Linked DNA regions of Styela clava. The protein of the gene in region 1 purifies or fractionates together with the protein of each later gene. This does not show direct contact. Links are inferred from orthologs where the notes say so. Each region holds a gene or a part of one and is shown on either strand. Other genes may lie near its edges.

Region 1 (8,067 bases):
CGAGACAATTTGGGCCTCCATAATCGACAATAATTCAAAACTGGCACTGCACAATGAATTAAAAGGAAGCCCAAGGGATTCCTCAGAAAAAAATAATCTGATTTACCAAAGGAAAAAAATTACCGCAGCTCTTTAGAGTTTCTAGCCAAAAATCAGAGAACTGTGCCCTACTGAACACTGCCGAAACTATGCAATGTCTGAATATAGGCAGAGATGTCAAAAAAGATTTAAAACTAGTTTTAGTCCCTAAATGCATGTGTCATCGAATTTCTGGGTACTGTCTGCATATTTGTAATGCCAACCTTGAAATTATGTGATTTTAACAAATATCATTCCTGACATCGGAATTGTGATAAAGACTTAAATCTCAAGATCCCAATCCCAGTTGTAATAGATAAAAAAATATTTTGCTAATAAATACAAATATCTGCCAATGGTTTGGTGTACGCTAAAATTGTTCAGCGGGCCGCATGCGTCGGTGTGGGGTCTTACTACTTACTGAATACAGCGCGAAACACCGCAAAGAATGCAAAACAGCGCGAAACAGCGCGAAACCAGCGCAAAACAGAGGGAAACAGCGCAAAACAGGAGACGCAGTCATTACCACCTCCTGCCACGAAAGAACCACGGCGCTTCTCGCCATGGTTTTATGGCGCTATTTCCGGTATATTTACAAGGTTATGTACCGGATTATAGGTCATCATGCGAAATTTTATCTACCTTTTTGGTGCTCCAGAAGTATGTGCAACAATATGTCGCACAACCTGAATCCGCTACACACACACACACATACTATTTTCAGGTTGTGCGCCATCTTGGTGCACATACTTCTGGAGGACCCTTTTTACCTAACCCTAACCCCAAAGTCAACCATATCCATATGGAAAATGTTCTAATTATGGTACCTAAAATGTGTCACCAGCAGGGGCAGACCTGCCATTACAGCATTACTGGCTACATACGTTGGTTTGTGTTTTTAATTTGCTGCCGTGGTACTCCAACTCAAAACAAGGTGCCTCGAACTCATTGCAAAATTTTTTTCTGCTTCACACTGTTTCCCTCTGTTTTGCGCTCTTTCGCGCTGTTTCCCCACTGTTTAGCGCTGTTTCCCTCTGTTTTCCGCTGTTTCGCGCTCTTTGTGGTGTTTCGCGCTGTATTCAGTAAGTAGTAAGACCGGTCGGTGTGTGCCATAGTTTGGACCACCCTGTACTAACTCATTGAGTGGACATTCATTGGCGGTTAAAAATATGCCCAATTTGAAACATAGGCTATTTGATAATCCTGTAATCCAGGATGGCACACTATATGATGGCGTGTTGACGATAATACATGAAAATCACATTTTGATAACAACATATATGATATCATACTTTATTTGAATTTGGACACCAACAATCTAGACTAAAACAGTAAACTTAATAACCCGATGAGGCATTAGATGATTTAATTTATAAAAACAATAACTTGAGCCAATGCCACAACGAGGCATTCCTATGCCGCAAATGTTCAACTTTATGATTTATACAAGAATAGATCGAAGAAAACGAGAATCAAATTAGCAGAATCATTTATTCCAATGCTGCATCGAAGCATTCATTTGCCACAAATGTTCAACTTGCGTAATTTATACTGTTATACGAGAATAACTCAATTCAATGCCACATTGAGAAATTCACCAGACTGGATTCCATGGCAGGTGCAAGGCCGAGGGCACTAGCGCTCCAGTAATAGAAAGATGCCGACAAATTGCAGAATTGTAGCTCCACAACTGTTGACTATACTCTAGCTTCCAAGATTTGGCCTAATTGAAAAATGCATAGCAAAAAAGACCTTATAACTTATCGATCTTGATCGGTAAGTACAGAAGTATGTTGATAGGTATTTGTCTGTTAGATACAAGCGATATCTCGCAAAAGCGAGGTAAATCTGCTCCAAATTTTGCATGTGCATTCATCATATCTCGGACCAGAAGCCTATTAATTTTGGATGAATTATGTCATAGCGTATATGGAATGGAATTTCTGATTGCACCCCCAATTTCTTGTTGGAAAAGATCATGAAATCCAGACTGCTGGACTGGGGCATTCAAGACATCAGACTGCTCACGCATCGAGCTTCCAGTCGGCTCGAAGTCCCTGGTTTCAGAGACACACATGCATTTCTTCGATGTTTCAGAATACAGCCGCAAATCCGGAATCGGATGCTGTACTGACAGCCGCATCACACTGTCACAACACTTTAAAAAGTACAGTACGGTATATTCTGAAACACTATTGAAAACAAATACCCATCAGTCAGTCAGTAGGATTTACATATTTATCCCGGGGGAGAGGAAAGCCGATAAGACGGCTTATCCATATGGCGAACCATGGCCTCTCGTCCGGTTACCAAGTCGGGTATGGGATTACAGGATTAGTTATATTGTTTGTTTTTCGGAAGCATGGACTTGGTGGTGGAGAAAGCCGTAACCGACCAGCGGTTACGTGAACCACCCAACGACAGTGAGGAGTCCAGCAATCCTCTCGCACATAACCATCCCTGCATGGGATTCGAAACCACGCAGAGTAATTAGAGGTGCGGTGGCGAGCGTATTCCTAACGCTTAGCCCGTTGAGCCACACCGCCGCGCCAGTACCCTACTGAGGTACAGGTATGCTCAGATGCTGATGTATAACTCGTCCTACTCTCCTAACAGCCTAACACTGTAACATACCGGTACCGTAATAGGAGATAATTACCGTTATGCCTATATTTTAATGACTAGGCTACGATATGATACGCACGGTACGGTACCCCTGTGGTGGCGGTACTGTACCTCTGTTATCGGTACTGTTACGGTACCCAAGCCAAGCAGTCATTTTGAAAATGTTATTGAATCAGATTAGAGAAAGCATCCCAGATTTAGCCGGGAGTCCTCGAAACCGAAAACAACAACAAACAAAATGCAGGTGACCTGAGAGATGAGCTTTAGATGTTTGTCGAAAACCCAGCCAGATGGCCATTTTCGGAGTTCCAAACATGTTTGTGCCTAACACCAACGTGCTCACACCACTGTGAAGCAAAGTGACTATAAACCAAGTGCGGAGACACCGAGTGCAAAATTTTACCCTGGTTTGCATTTTATTCGGGTAATTTCATTATTTTTCTTTTGCTATTTGCCTCGTGGAATCATACTGGTCGTGAAAGTTACGATAGTTATCTTATCATCTCGTGTGAGTTATGCAACTTTAAAACCTCATATCTCACGAACCTTATATTATATGCAGATAAGTTTTATATTGTTTGAGAGACAATCTAAGAGACTAATTATGAGATGGAGATAAAATGTAGAGATTATCATACAAAAATTGAAAAGCGTGGATTTTTTTTTGAAAAGCTTTCAAATTAAATAACAAAAACTTCGATTTGTTCCTTTTTTAACCTAATATGACATCGACACATTTGCGGAGGTTAAAAATAGCTTTCGAAATTAGATAGAATTTATCGTGCACCAGTAAAATTGTATAAGTTATTCCATTCAATGTTCTCCAATTCTTGTCATGTCCACTGCGCCAACTTGAGTTAAACAACAACGTTCCCTAATTACTTCGTTACGCAATTACGTAGCAACGTTCCGTATCAAAAACACTTATCGCTTTCCTTCGCAAGTGTGAAACGTCATTAACCTAATGCATACGTTTAAATCAGGTAGGCCTACTATTTGAACTGGTATTATGATACCTGTTCACACCATGCCGAAAGTTTGAAGCCTGTGTTTCACATTAATCATTCCAGAAACCGATGAAATGAATTTTCTCGGGAAAATTTTTCTTAATTCAACGAGCTGTTGCAACAGTTGCTCCAAAAATTATAGAATGTAAACGATCTCATGGCTAGCACATTGTGCGGCCTAATGAATTTCATCGAAGCATGTACATTATAAGGTACAAAATTTAAAAACCAGCCGCCGCGACTGGTGTTGCAGCTCTTATCAACCTATTATTGGCAGGATATTTCGATTCTTTTGCGTCGGAAAATGTAAAATATTTACTAGGTGATCTAGCGACGCCATCATGTCTTCTACGTTCTCGTTGATAGAACTTGATCGTAATTTTATCGATATCCAACAGTGAAAAAATAGCCTTGATGTTTCCGGGGGAACCCCATAGAGACACGGGCTTCGAATTGTTTGTTTGTTTCTAGGGAAAGTGTCAATCCCGATGAATGCCCACAATCGTTACTAGATCTTTTTAGGTCTTACACACATGATAAATATTTGAAAATTGATAGTTTTACCCAATATTTATGCCACCCATCCAAAAAAGCAATCGTCTTTTTGCAAGAAGCATAAACTATATTTCGCGCCAATAATAATGCCTTTCATAATATATGTTCGCCTGTTACTTTTCTGACAAATAAAGTTGCTTGAAATATAATTTCCCATCTTGCCACAATATCGCTTTTAAAACTTTGAAACGTTTTCTTAATTTAAGGTTAAATATTCACGCGAAAGAGGAGACAAATAAAATTATTGAAAAACGGTATGCTAGTAGACCTGCGGCAAGAGCTCAAGTCAGATATATAGCTAATATACTATTTTATACACTCCAAATTATTAGATGTTCTTGTAAACTTGATATACGCCGTTATCCTTCATTCCATGCATGTAGTATATTTTTTTAATATTATTTTGGCAAAGTACACCTTGTTGAAAATTTGCGATACGCATACATTAATATCATGACATGTAACCGCAAAAATAGTGCAAGTTTCTGTAGTATAATTTATATTGTAGTTCTGTCAGTTTGTTAAAATAGGTTTTGTGCAAGTAGCGATACTTACATCAGGAATTTTATATTAATTTTATAATAAAATGTGTATCTTTCGTTTAATATTTAGGTCTTATTGGGTGTTGATTTATCGAGTGAAGTTGGATGACTTTAACCTTAACTTCGTATATGCTGACCATACCGCCGAGCCGAGTTATCCGAGAAACATCTGCGGACAGTTAATTTTTCAGAAGAATGTTCATTCGTTTTGCCGCTGCGAAAGTTTGGTCCAAATTATTGAGCATCGTTTTTTTTATTCAGCTGTTTAACGATCGCAGGTTTAAATCACTTAGTTGGGATCATATAGGCCGCGAGCCGAGGCCCTGAAAAACGCCTAGAAAGTGAGTTTCGTAGCGCACATCAGGTAACTACCTGAAAATGATTTTAAAATGTTCCTTAAAAATTTAGTAACGAATATTGCCTTGTTCCCTTTTCCAAAAGTTGCACGTTTCACGGAAAAGACGCTTTTACTACAAGAAATATGTGCTACGATCTGTGCTATATTCTCTACATTTTCGGCAATGAACAATAACTTCTGCATAACGTAACAATTGAATCGAATCAGCTGTTAGCGAGCGGATGAATATCAGTTATTACTGCTCGACCTTGCGTTGAGTTGGGCAGCCTTTCCATAGCACTGTTTAGTTATTATTAGTTAAGTTATTCTAAGACATTGTTGAAAAATGTACAAGTGAGTTATTAATTAAACACTTGTAGATTCTTACCACGGATATGAACCGTGAGACGAAGCCTTGAAAACGCCCAGAAAATGAGTTTCGTAGCGCACATCTGGTAACTAAATAAATTCTTCAGTTTTGTGTGAAAATGAGCATACTGAAAGCATTACAGCTTGTTGCACAATCCTGATGCGAAATTGAATATAAGAGGTTCCCGGAAATTCAATAACCATCAGTTTACAACACATACATAAGAACTATGTAATTCGACAGCCCTACAGCACACTAACGCAGATGTATTCCTGTAATGTTTTCCCTGACCAAAATCGGACTTCCTCAGTCAATCATAATTTATTAGGTAGATTACGAAAAATATGGCATACATGTAATCGACAACAAAATACTTTAATTGTGTGACAGGAGTCGCGAGTGACCTCGAAAGCAGCGACACCAACAACGTTGATTCACATTAGCGAATAAATTTTATGTAATAACCACAAGCAGTTTACAACAAGAACAGCATAAAAAGCTACATCCATTTTATAGAAGCTATCAAACGTAATTATTTTAAGCAAGGAATTCACAAATTAACATCGTGAGCACGAAAACACAAATAAATCAGTTACTTCTCACTTAAAAATTTACCGGAAAAGTCAAGAAAATTAAATGAATGTACATAACATAGTGAACAGAAATATTACAATTGGTCTTTTTTAGTTTAAGTGGTTATGTATTTGAACAAAGGCAATATTATTTCTAGAAACAGGACTACGACACTAACGAATGTCCGAAAAAAAAACAAATAAATGATACTTATTAAATCAATTGCAACATCTAATTCACTTCCTTCTGAATTGTTTTCGAAATCCACTATCTCGAAAATCGACTTTTCTTCTATGAGTGTACTGTGATTTTTGCAGTCAATACAAAAACAAAAATCTGTGCAATTTAAGTTGATTTTGGCACACTTGCATAAATTATTTTGATCATTTTTCTTACACTTGCAGTTTGCCAAATCAAGAACTGATTTGAGGGCCACATGCTTCTTCAGTGAATTATTGTTGGGTGGGAAGAGTATAATCCTTATGTTTGCCATTGTTAAATAGACGTGCCCTGGTATCATTTACATTCTTCATATCCTCTTCATACAGTGAACAAACAAATTCCTCAGCTTTATTTATTAATGCCTCGTTATCCTCAAAAGATCTTCATAGTTGAGAAAAATGAATTGAAAACCTCAACGAAGTCTCCAACATGAGTTTGATGGGCAGTTCCAATTGCAGAAAAGTGCTATAGTATTTCAATATGAATAGGCCATCTAAGCTGTTTGCAACTATTATGATTCTCATATACCTTTACGCTTCAAGACTTCTTGTTTAATCCATTTTATAGCACTGATAGCAGCAAGGATTAGAGCCTGCGTTAGGTCGGATTGGTGGAACATTGCCGTTTTCTTTTTTTGTGGTACAGTATCTAAAATGAGGAAGAAAATCATATTTGGAACAGCATGAGTGTAAAAATACCACTAAATACTAACTAATACCTTGAATACATAATGCATTTTATCTAATGTACTCAATGAGCGTATATATGCTCATTGCATGTACTACAGTCCAGCAGTGTTTGCATATCATTACTAGACTATATCTACACTAAATTTTGATATATCACAGTCTGAAATGCTCTATGACAGTATGAGTATGGACCACAGACTATATTTTAAAACATCAACTGTCTGTCTACAATACAATACAATTGATTTCTCACCTCTCAATCGTTTCCAGTGCTACTTTCTTCCCACTCCTGCATAACTTATCATTGCTTCCCAGGTTCTTGTCGACTCTATGAATTCAGATTTAGACCAACCGACATTGGTAAAATTGATTATTTTCTTCTCTTTCACACAAACGTGCATTACAGAAATAGCCATTAATTTATATTTCCAAATATGCTGTGGCCTATATAGTAGTATAAGTCTGCTGAATAGTCAAGAAGAGTCATTAAATTAATCACAAACATTTCATGCAAGCCAGAAAATATCGTTGTTTGTGACATATTATTTTAGGTCTAGCCCTCCTCGGAGTTACCGCACCGTACCTATTTAACAACGTCTTATGAGCTAGTGCTCAACTAAAATTGCTATTTATGGTAAGGATATACAAGTGTTTAATATCTTACTTATACTTTTCAACACGTCCTTAGAATAACTGAACTAATAATAACTGAAAAAACTATGGAAAACTACTCAACGCAAAAGCGAGCAGTAGTAGTACATCTGATATTCATCCGACCACTGGGGATCCACCTACAGCTGACTAATTTGATTGTTACGTCATGCAGAAGTCTGCGTTCATTGGCCCATGATACCGGAAAAGCAGAGAAAATAGGACAAATGGTAACACATATTCATTGTAGTAAAAGCGTCTTTTCTGTAAAACGTGCAACTTTTGATAGTGGGAACAAGGCAATATTTGTTACTAAATTTCTACGGAACATTTTAAAATCATTTTCAGGTAGTTACCTTATGTGCGCTACGAAACTGAAAGATAAATGGCCTCGGCTCGCGGCCTAATACAGAGATAG
Region 2 (7,696 bases), on another chromosome or scaffold:
GAGGGTTGGTCATCATCTCTTCTTTTTGGTGGACCTCTATCTTCCCAACCTCTATCTCTTGGACCATCCGTTCGAATCCTTGAAGGAAAGTCGAAATCACGAGGCGGCCCATCTCGTCGACTAGGGCGCCACGCTTGTTTTTCGGCAGGTGGTCCATCTCTTCTCCAGGGGTTATCATCTGGTGCATCATCTTTAAAACGTGAACCCCCACCGCCAGGTCCTCTCCAGGCACCTCTATCATCATCTCTGCGTGCTGGTGGGCCATCTCTTTCACCTCTTGGTCTATAGGCATTCGGATTCTGTTGGGCAGCAATCTTAGCTTCAATCTCACGTTCTCTTTGCAGTCGCTTCTCCTCAGCGATCTTAAGTGCTTGCATCTTCTCTTCATATGCACGTGTCTCTTCTTCTTGTTTTTCACGTTCAGCACGCTCTTTTTCTTCGCGCTCTCTCTTCAACTGCTCATCAAGTATTCTTTGTTCATATTCTGCCTTGTCTTTGAGCCACTTTTGACGACGTTGCTCTTTTCTCTCTTGTTTTCTTTCAGCGAGTCGTTCTTCGCGAACTTCGAAAAGCATTTTTTCGAATTCTGAATGCTTTTTATCAAAGATTGCTCTTCTTGATTCTCTCAGACTCTGTAAATATATATTTCGATCCTCTTTCATCCTTGACAATCTCTCTTTGGTTTGATTTGTGATGATCTGTTCAACCTTGGTTCTTTCAATGCGCTCTGCTTCTAGTTCCTCCCATAGTATGGCATCAGTCTCACGTTTCTTTTCATATTTTTCTTTCATCAGCGGGATCTCTTCAAGACGTTTGGCTCTCTCAAAGTAATCCACTTTCTTCTCTTGAGCTTTCAGTCTATCTTGCATATCCTTCTTTTCTCTTTCCATGGTTTCCATTTGTCTTTTCATTAATTCATCTGGATCAATTTTTGTGAAAGTGTCCACATCAATGTCCTTAAGCATTTTTGCTCCAAGTTCACTCTTTCGAATCATTTCAAGGCGATCCTGTGCCACCCGACGTTCTTCATCTTCCTTTTCCTCGCGGCGACGCATTTCTTCCCGTTCTCTCATTTCCTTCGTGAGTCGTTCTTGTTCAGCTGCTTTAACAGCTTCTTCTTGCTCTTTGGCAGCCTTTTGCTCTTGCTTCTCCCGTTCTCTACTGAATTCTTCAAGCTGTTCTTTGCGCATTTCAATAACTTGTCGTCTCTGCAATATATTTTGCTGATCTTTCCTCCAAGTTTTTGTGTAGAGGTTCAGAATTTCATTTTTCCTCTGGAGCATCTTATCCACTTCTGCCTGTGGTTGAAGTTTCCTGTAAGCAACATGAAGTGATTGAGCCATTTCGTTGAATTGTTGAGAAATTTTTTCGCTTGGCAGAGGTTGCAGGCGTTGCGGTTCAAAGAATTCATCCTCTACATAAAGTGGAGAAGCATTCAAGTCAGTGCCAAACCTGATTGCACCCTTACTATGATCAATGCGAACTTGAATCTGACCATTGCGAGATGCATCAATAATAGCACGCTCCAACTGAAAAGCAGAACAAAACGGAAGAAGACTCAAAAGATGAGATAGCTCAATGGTTTGATAGACATTGGCAACTTGTTGCAGAACACGAGAGACAACATTTCCCTCCAAAGCAGTGATATATTGTGCAAGCTCTGGTTCTCTTGTTTGCTCACGTATCCATTGCAATGACTGTCCAACACGTGCACTGAGACGAAGTGGATGGAAATCAACCTCAAGCCATTGGAAGAGATCTCTCAGCTGTTTAGGTGTGTATTGCAATATGTTGTGTTTCTTGAGATCCTCAATCAAGCTTGAACGAGTTGGTGGTCTGCTGAGCCCAAGAAGCTTTGCCAACTTTAAGTGCTTGTCAATCAAAGCACTTTCCATATCAAGCATTTTACCAATTCCATGTTTCTGCTCAGTGATTGGGATAGCTAATGTGGAAACAAGCATGAGAGAAGCCATTCTAGACAAATCATCCTTAGTTGGGTTCTTTTTCATCTCTTTGGTGAGTCGAAACAAATGGTGCCTTGAACTTGCATGGAAAAGCATGTTGCCAGCTTTCCAAAAGACCAGAGACAACTTTGAATGAAAATTCACCAAAACTTGGGGCTTTGGTGGTTTTTTCGAAAGTGACATCAGATAATGGATATCCTCCACAGCCTTGAATGCTTCTTGCCATAGCTCGATCTTAATAGCACTATCAAGCTGTGCAATCCTTGTGCCAAGGTGCAACAACTGGCTTTCCACATTGGTGAGATTGATAGATACTGCTGTTTGGTGACGCTGCTCACTCAATTTCACATGGTTTCTAAGATTGTCGCAAAGCTTTCGAAATTCTGTACGACGATCATACTTCAAACAGAATTCAAATGCATTTAGAGCAATATCTTGATACAATTTCTCGACTCTGTTATTATTTCTCAGCAGATCCAAGCATTGGCGATAGCTTTCCCACAAAAACTTGACCCAAGGTGTCAACATGAGACGGTTGGTTCGATCATGGGTTTTCTCACCAGTAACAGCACTAAGCAAAACACCTTCTGGCGAATCAATCATATCAAGATCTTCAACCATTTGCAAAGCGGTCTCAGTTGATTTATCCTTTGCCTCTTCAGTCTTCTCTTCAGCTAACTTGAGATAATTCTTCACAGCATTTTCAAGAGAGTTGATGTTGACTTGCTGGCAAATTATTTTATACTGATACAATCCTTCTTTGGCCGCCTGGCTCTTTCGGAGGTCCACACAAAGGTTTAGATATTGTCTAATGATTTGCTCATGAATCTTCTGCCAGGTTCGATGCTTCTTGCTTCGCAGCACATCACTGAGAACATCTAAGGCTGGTTTTAGCTTTCCAACCTCAAGAAATTCTTGCGCTCTCTTAAGAGCATTTTCAGGTCGTTGAAAATACTCTGGCATCTCCGACAAACTGCGGAAAACTTAATAAGGACAAATATGCTAAATCAGATGTTGTTAACTGTAAAATATAAACATCATATGACATGCATTAAAAATGTAAACTAGAAAGCAGTACCACCTTTGGTAATTTTCATTTCGAGTAATGTGGTTTGAATTCTATTGTTATTAGAAAATATTCTTGGTGCTGTTTCATCAACAAATTCAGTAATTACCTCCTGTACCTCACAATTGGCAAATTTAGGAATCAATCCAGCAATCGGCCGTGATCATTTTGAATTAAGTTATTTGTCAACATGAGTTTTAAAATAAAGCTGACCAATTCAAAACGATTTTTAACCAGATAAGTGAGGGATAATACCACAATGCTTGAATATAAAGTATATGATCTAAAATGGCATTTTGAAATCTTGTGAGCAATGACTATTTTCCAAGGGGATTTTGCTTTCAGCATCTTATCTGTGTTCGAAAGCACTTATATTTGCAAAAAGTCTTTCTCCATTATGAAGAAAATAAAATCTAATACTAAATGTTCATATAGGAAGATTGATCGATGAAAAATAATGATCGAATGTGTTTGCACAATAAAAGTGTTTGTTCCATATCACGCTGTTCATCTATTCTAGGCAATATTGTGGCGCGTGAATAATGCAAAAATAATTTTGTGGCCCCCATCAGGGGTCTACAACAGGCGGCCCTTGTCAACATTCACATTTTTTCCCAGTCCTAATCGACAGTTTATGTTTAAAAACATGGGTAAAAATACACAATGGTTTTCTTTTCGCTATTTTACGCAGTGTCTTCATCACTATACAGCGGTATGTAGACCAGCAAGATGTTTGAAGTTGGATATACGGCCCACCGACAAAAAAATGTTGCACACCCCTGGTCTAGATAAGGTAGAATTCATTTCATGTGACACTGCCATATGAATTTAAAGTTGGTAGCTGAGTAGACTATTTCTGTATTTCAATACTCCAAATAGGAGTGGAAGTGGTGACTCCTCTGCGGCCCATGGGCCGGGGCCACGGTCCATCGAATTGGGCCTCGGCCCATCAGGCTATGGGCCGCGGCCCATCAAGTTGTGTAAAGAAACTATTCACTTGGCTAACACAGACAGTCCCCGAACTCATAATAGAACTATAATGTAAAAAATCTGAATTTTTTCTGTCCTAACCCTAACCTGGAACACATACTACAGGAGTATATTTTTTTGGTTTGAATATTGACAATTTGGTAAAAATTGAAAATTTTGTTAAGATAATTGAATTTTTCCTGATGGGGCTGCGGCCCATCAAGCTATGGGCCACGGCCTATGTGGCCCAATTAGATGGGTCCTGGCCCCGGCCCATGGGCCGTAGAGGAGTCACCACTCCTGTAGCCAAATAGGCTACTGACAAATAGTCTATCGATGTTTTCAATTCATGATGCAACATCTGAACATATTCAGATATTGGTGTATTGATAATAATGATGACATACATCTGTATACAGAACTTCCAGCTCAATAGAATTAAACATAATTCAAGATACCCCGATTTCTCAAAAATAGGATGCTTTTTTCATTCCAATCAATTTCAAAGTTGCTACCGTATTTCAGTGTAATACTTTGCATGTAAATTTTAAAATCAATCAATTTCAAAGTTGCTATCATATTTCAGTGCAATACTTTGCAAGTAAATTTTAAAATCAATCAATTTCAAAGTTGCTATCACATTTCAGTGTAATACTTTGCAACTAAATTGTAAAATATCAGGTCTTCAGTTCTTTCAGGTGAAGAATTGTTGAAACCTAGGCCTATATCTGAATATCAATATTGTCAAATGTTTAACATTGTCAGTACTGAAGCAAACATAGTTTAATTCAGATTGTAAAATAGTCAATCGAATGACCAATTCACACTTCTGCACTTTGACAAATTGGGTCTCGTGTAGTTTCGTACCTAACGTACTTCTAGTAGGCGTAGCATAACAATTTTTTGATATGTCAATCCTAACCCCCATCTGATTACGCCAAAAATTAAATCACTACGACATCACAATCACGTCATAGAGCTTGCTAAATATACGCACGATCGACCGAAATGGCATTGGCGCCGACGATAAAGAACTGACTGACGTTATCGGTCTCTCTCCTATTGGAATCGTTGCGACGAGAAAACGAGAGAAATAACTGTTCGATTTCGGGTGCTCGTTTGCGCGTCTTGGATGGCAGTTCGTATAGTTTGAAGGGCTCTATTACGTCACTGTGACGTCGTAATGACGTAATTTTTGGATGGTGTAGTCAGGTGGGGGTTAGAATTGATACGTGAATAAATTGTCATGCTAAGCCCACTAGAAGTACCGGTATGTTAGGTAAGAAACTACATGAGACCCGACAAATCTACCGAAATTCTGATACCAATCTACACCTAAATACTGAAATAACCAATAAATACAGAAATAGGGTAGTATCAGCCTGACAATATTTTTTGCAAACAAATTCCAGTATTCTGAAAAACCAAAGACATAAACAGGACTGAATTTCAGGAAACTTGCCAAGAAAAAAATGCGATGACCAAAATTAGATTAGTTGACTAAACCCTCGAAGCAATAAATCCGAACCATTATCCAATTTTAATTGTATACTGGTAAACTAACAGGGGTAAAAGTAAAACAGGTATTTTAATAAAACCAAAAGTTGATGAAAGTTGCAAGGCGAACACGCGGATTTCCTTCCATGTGTAAGCTCGTGGAATCTTTCGTCACTGCACCATATTGTCGCCAGCCATCAGATGGCGTATACGAGTAGATGCTCGGGCACGAAATATGCATGACCAACGACTGTGCATCACTGAGATCGCCAATTATTAATTAGGATAGAATAGGTATGTTAGTCGTTGGATAGAATTCACATATTTTTTCCGGCGGAATAAATGTACGTACATTTTGTATTTTTAGTATGTGAAAAATTAAACTACTTACGGACCGACTCTTATCGCATAGACGTGGATGGAAGAAGGAACGATCGATGTACGTCCATTGATTAGGTCCGTGCCTTTAGAACGATAGACTGTTGTCTCCTTGCTGGGGGTGTGCCAAACTTTGCAAGAAAAAAAAGGGGGAAAAAATATTTGTGGTGTTTGGAAAGGTTTATTGCAAATCAGTAGCAATTGGCAAGTTACATACATTTTCCTTGTTTTAATTTGACCTATTTAAATACAAAAAAAATCAAACATTACAGCAATTTTTAACGACACGGGCAAAAAAAAAATTTGATTTAAAGCAATTTATTTTGAACAAATCCCAACGGATAATGATGCTCCTCATCCCCAATGAGCATATATACATCCCTGACTTAAAATATAATTCAGATTATAGACAGACAACAGATTATAGATGTCATTATACGTGAATCATCAAACTAAGCAACAAACTCACATGTATAAGATCGAACTCATTTATTAACAAAAAGCAAGTCACTTATTTTTATGTCTAATTACTACTTAGCTGCCAACACTCAACAAATGTTTGAACGACAGCCTCCTCCAGCTCACTCGTCAGGAATTTCTTTTCAATCAAAAGGTAAATTTGGCAGGCGCTGATTTAACATCGAAGATCTCAAAAATATATGTTTTTCTCTGTTTCAGCTTTGAAAAAGATCGTTTGCTACTAGTAATTGAGTATCTAATTTTGAGTAATAAACGATATCTAATCAGGGTTGTTTAAAACGAATCGAATATTCGAATACCTTTTCGGTTGGTTTCGGCACTTCGATTGTTTGTTATTATAATTAATTTTTGATTTGCATTTTTGTATTTACAAAATAAATAAATTTTTACTAATATTCGAAATAGCGATTTATTCGGTATTGTCCATTCCTGGTTGAAGTGTATGGCTGAAAATATGAAAATAAGACTTAAGTTTAATTAGTAGAAAACATTTGTCTTCTTGTCACGCGTCTCGCATAATCCAACCACAGTCTGATATTAAATAGGTTAAATAAAATCGTGCGCTTTGTTACAAATTACGATACCCGGAAAAAAACAAGTTGGTTTATTAGAAAAAATATTTTATACATTTCTCGCAAATAATTTTGGTCATGATAGTTATAAGTATCGATTTTTTACTGGGATGTTGCGCAAAAATTCAACACAATGAATGATGCCAGCCTTTGAAATGCCTTACTATATTAATTTAATTCTGTTTAACCCATGGTTGCGATGACTAATGAAAAAATTAAAGCATTACTAGAAAATGCTGTGATAGACTATCTAGGCTAAACTTTTTTATCAGTACTGAATTAAAATGATTTTTTGAGACATATAAACCAGTTTAATATAGAGGACTTGCACGGGTCACGTGACTTTGTTTACTGGACGGCAAAAAAACAAAAACGTCTATTTGGCTCCTGTCAGTTGCAATTCAGATTATACGTTTCCGTTTTGTTTGGCTGTTGAAAATGGTTATTTCGTATTGTTCCGTTGGCTGTACGTAAAGTATAGGCAACGAAATGGATCTTCAGTTATATTCCACTGTTTTCAAAAGATCTAGTAAGCAGGTAATCTATTAGTAAGTGTAAAAAGTTGAATAAATGACTAAAGTTTAACGCCAGCGCTCATGCAAAAATAACCAGAATTCAATTGAATTCGCCATCTAGGAATACGCTCGCCACCGCATCTCTGATCACCCTGGTAGTTTCACAGGTTCCAATCCCATGCGGGGATAGTTATGTGCAAGAGGATTGCAGCTCTCCTCCCAACGAGGGTGGTTCACACGACCGCTGGTCGATTA

The links.
Region 2: the proteins of uncharacterized protein LOC120338787 (region 1) and eukaryotic translation initiation factor 3 subunit A-like purify together in Homo sapiens (co-immunoprecipitation; 3 studies listed by BioGRID and IntAct, with this or other methods). This does not show direct contact. The link is inferred for Styela clava from reciprocal best matches to the Homo sapiens genes EIF4B and EIF3A.

The regions. Positions count from the first base shown.
Region 1 is NC_135258.1:23,452,123-23,460,189, forward strand, and holds the start of uncharacterized protein LOC120338787, read right to left. Parts: upstream 3,035-8,067; 5' UTR 3,020-3,034; coding exon 2,953-3,019; intron 1-2,952. UniProt on the Homo sapiens protein: Required for the binding of mRNA to ribosomes. Functions in close association with EIF4-F and EIF4-A. Binds near the 5'-terminal cap of mRNA in presence of EIF-4F and ATP.
Region 2 is NC_135253.1:8,116,516-8,124,211, reverse strand, and holds the start of eukaryotic translation initiation factor 3 subunit A-like, read right to left. Parts: upstream 3,007-7,696; 5' UTR 2,928-3,006; coding exon 1-2,927. UniProt on the Homo sapiens protein: RNA-binding component of the eukaryotic translation initiation factor 3 (eIF-3) complex, which is required for several steps in the initiation of protein synthesis.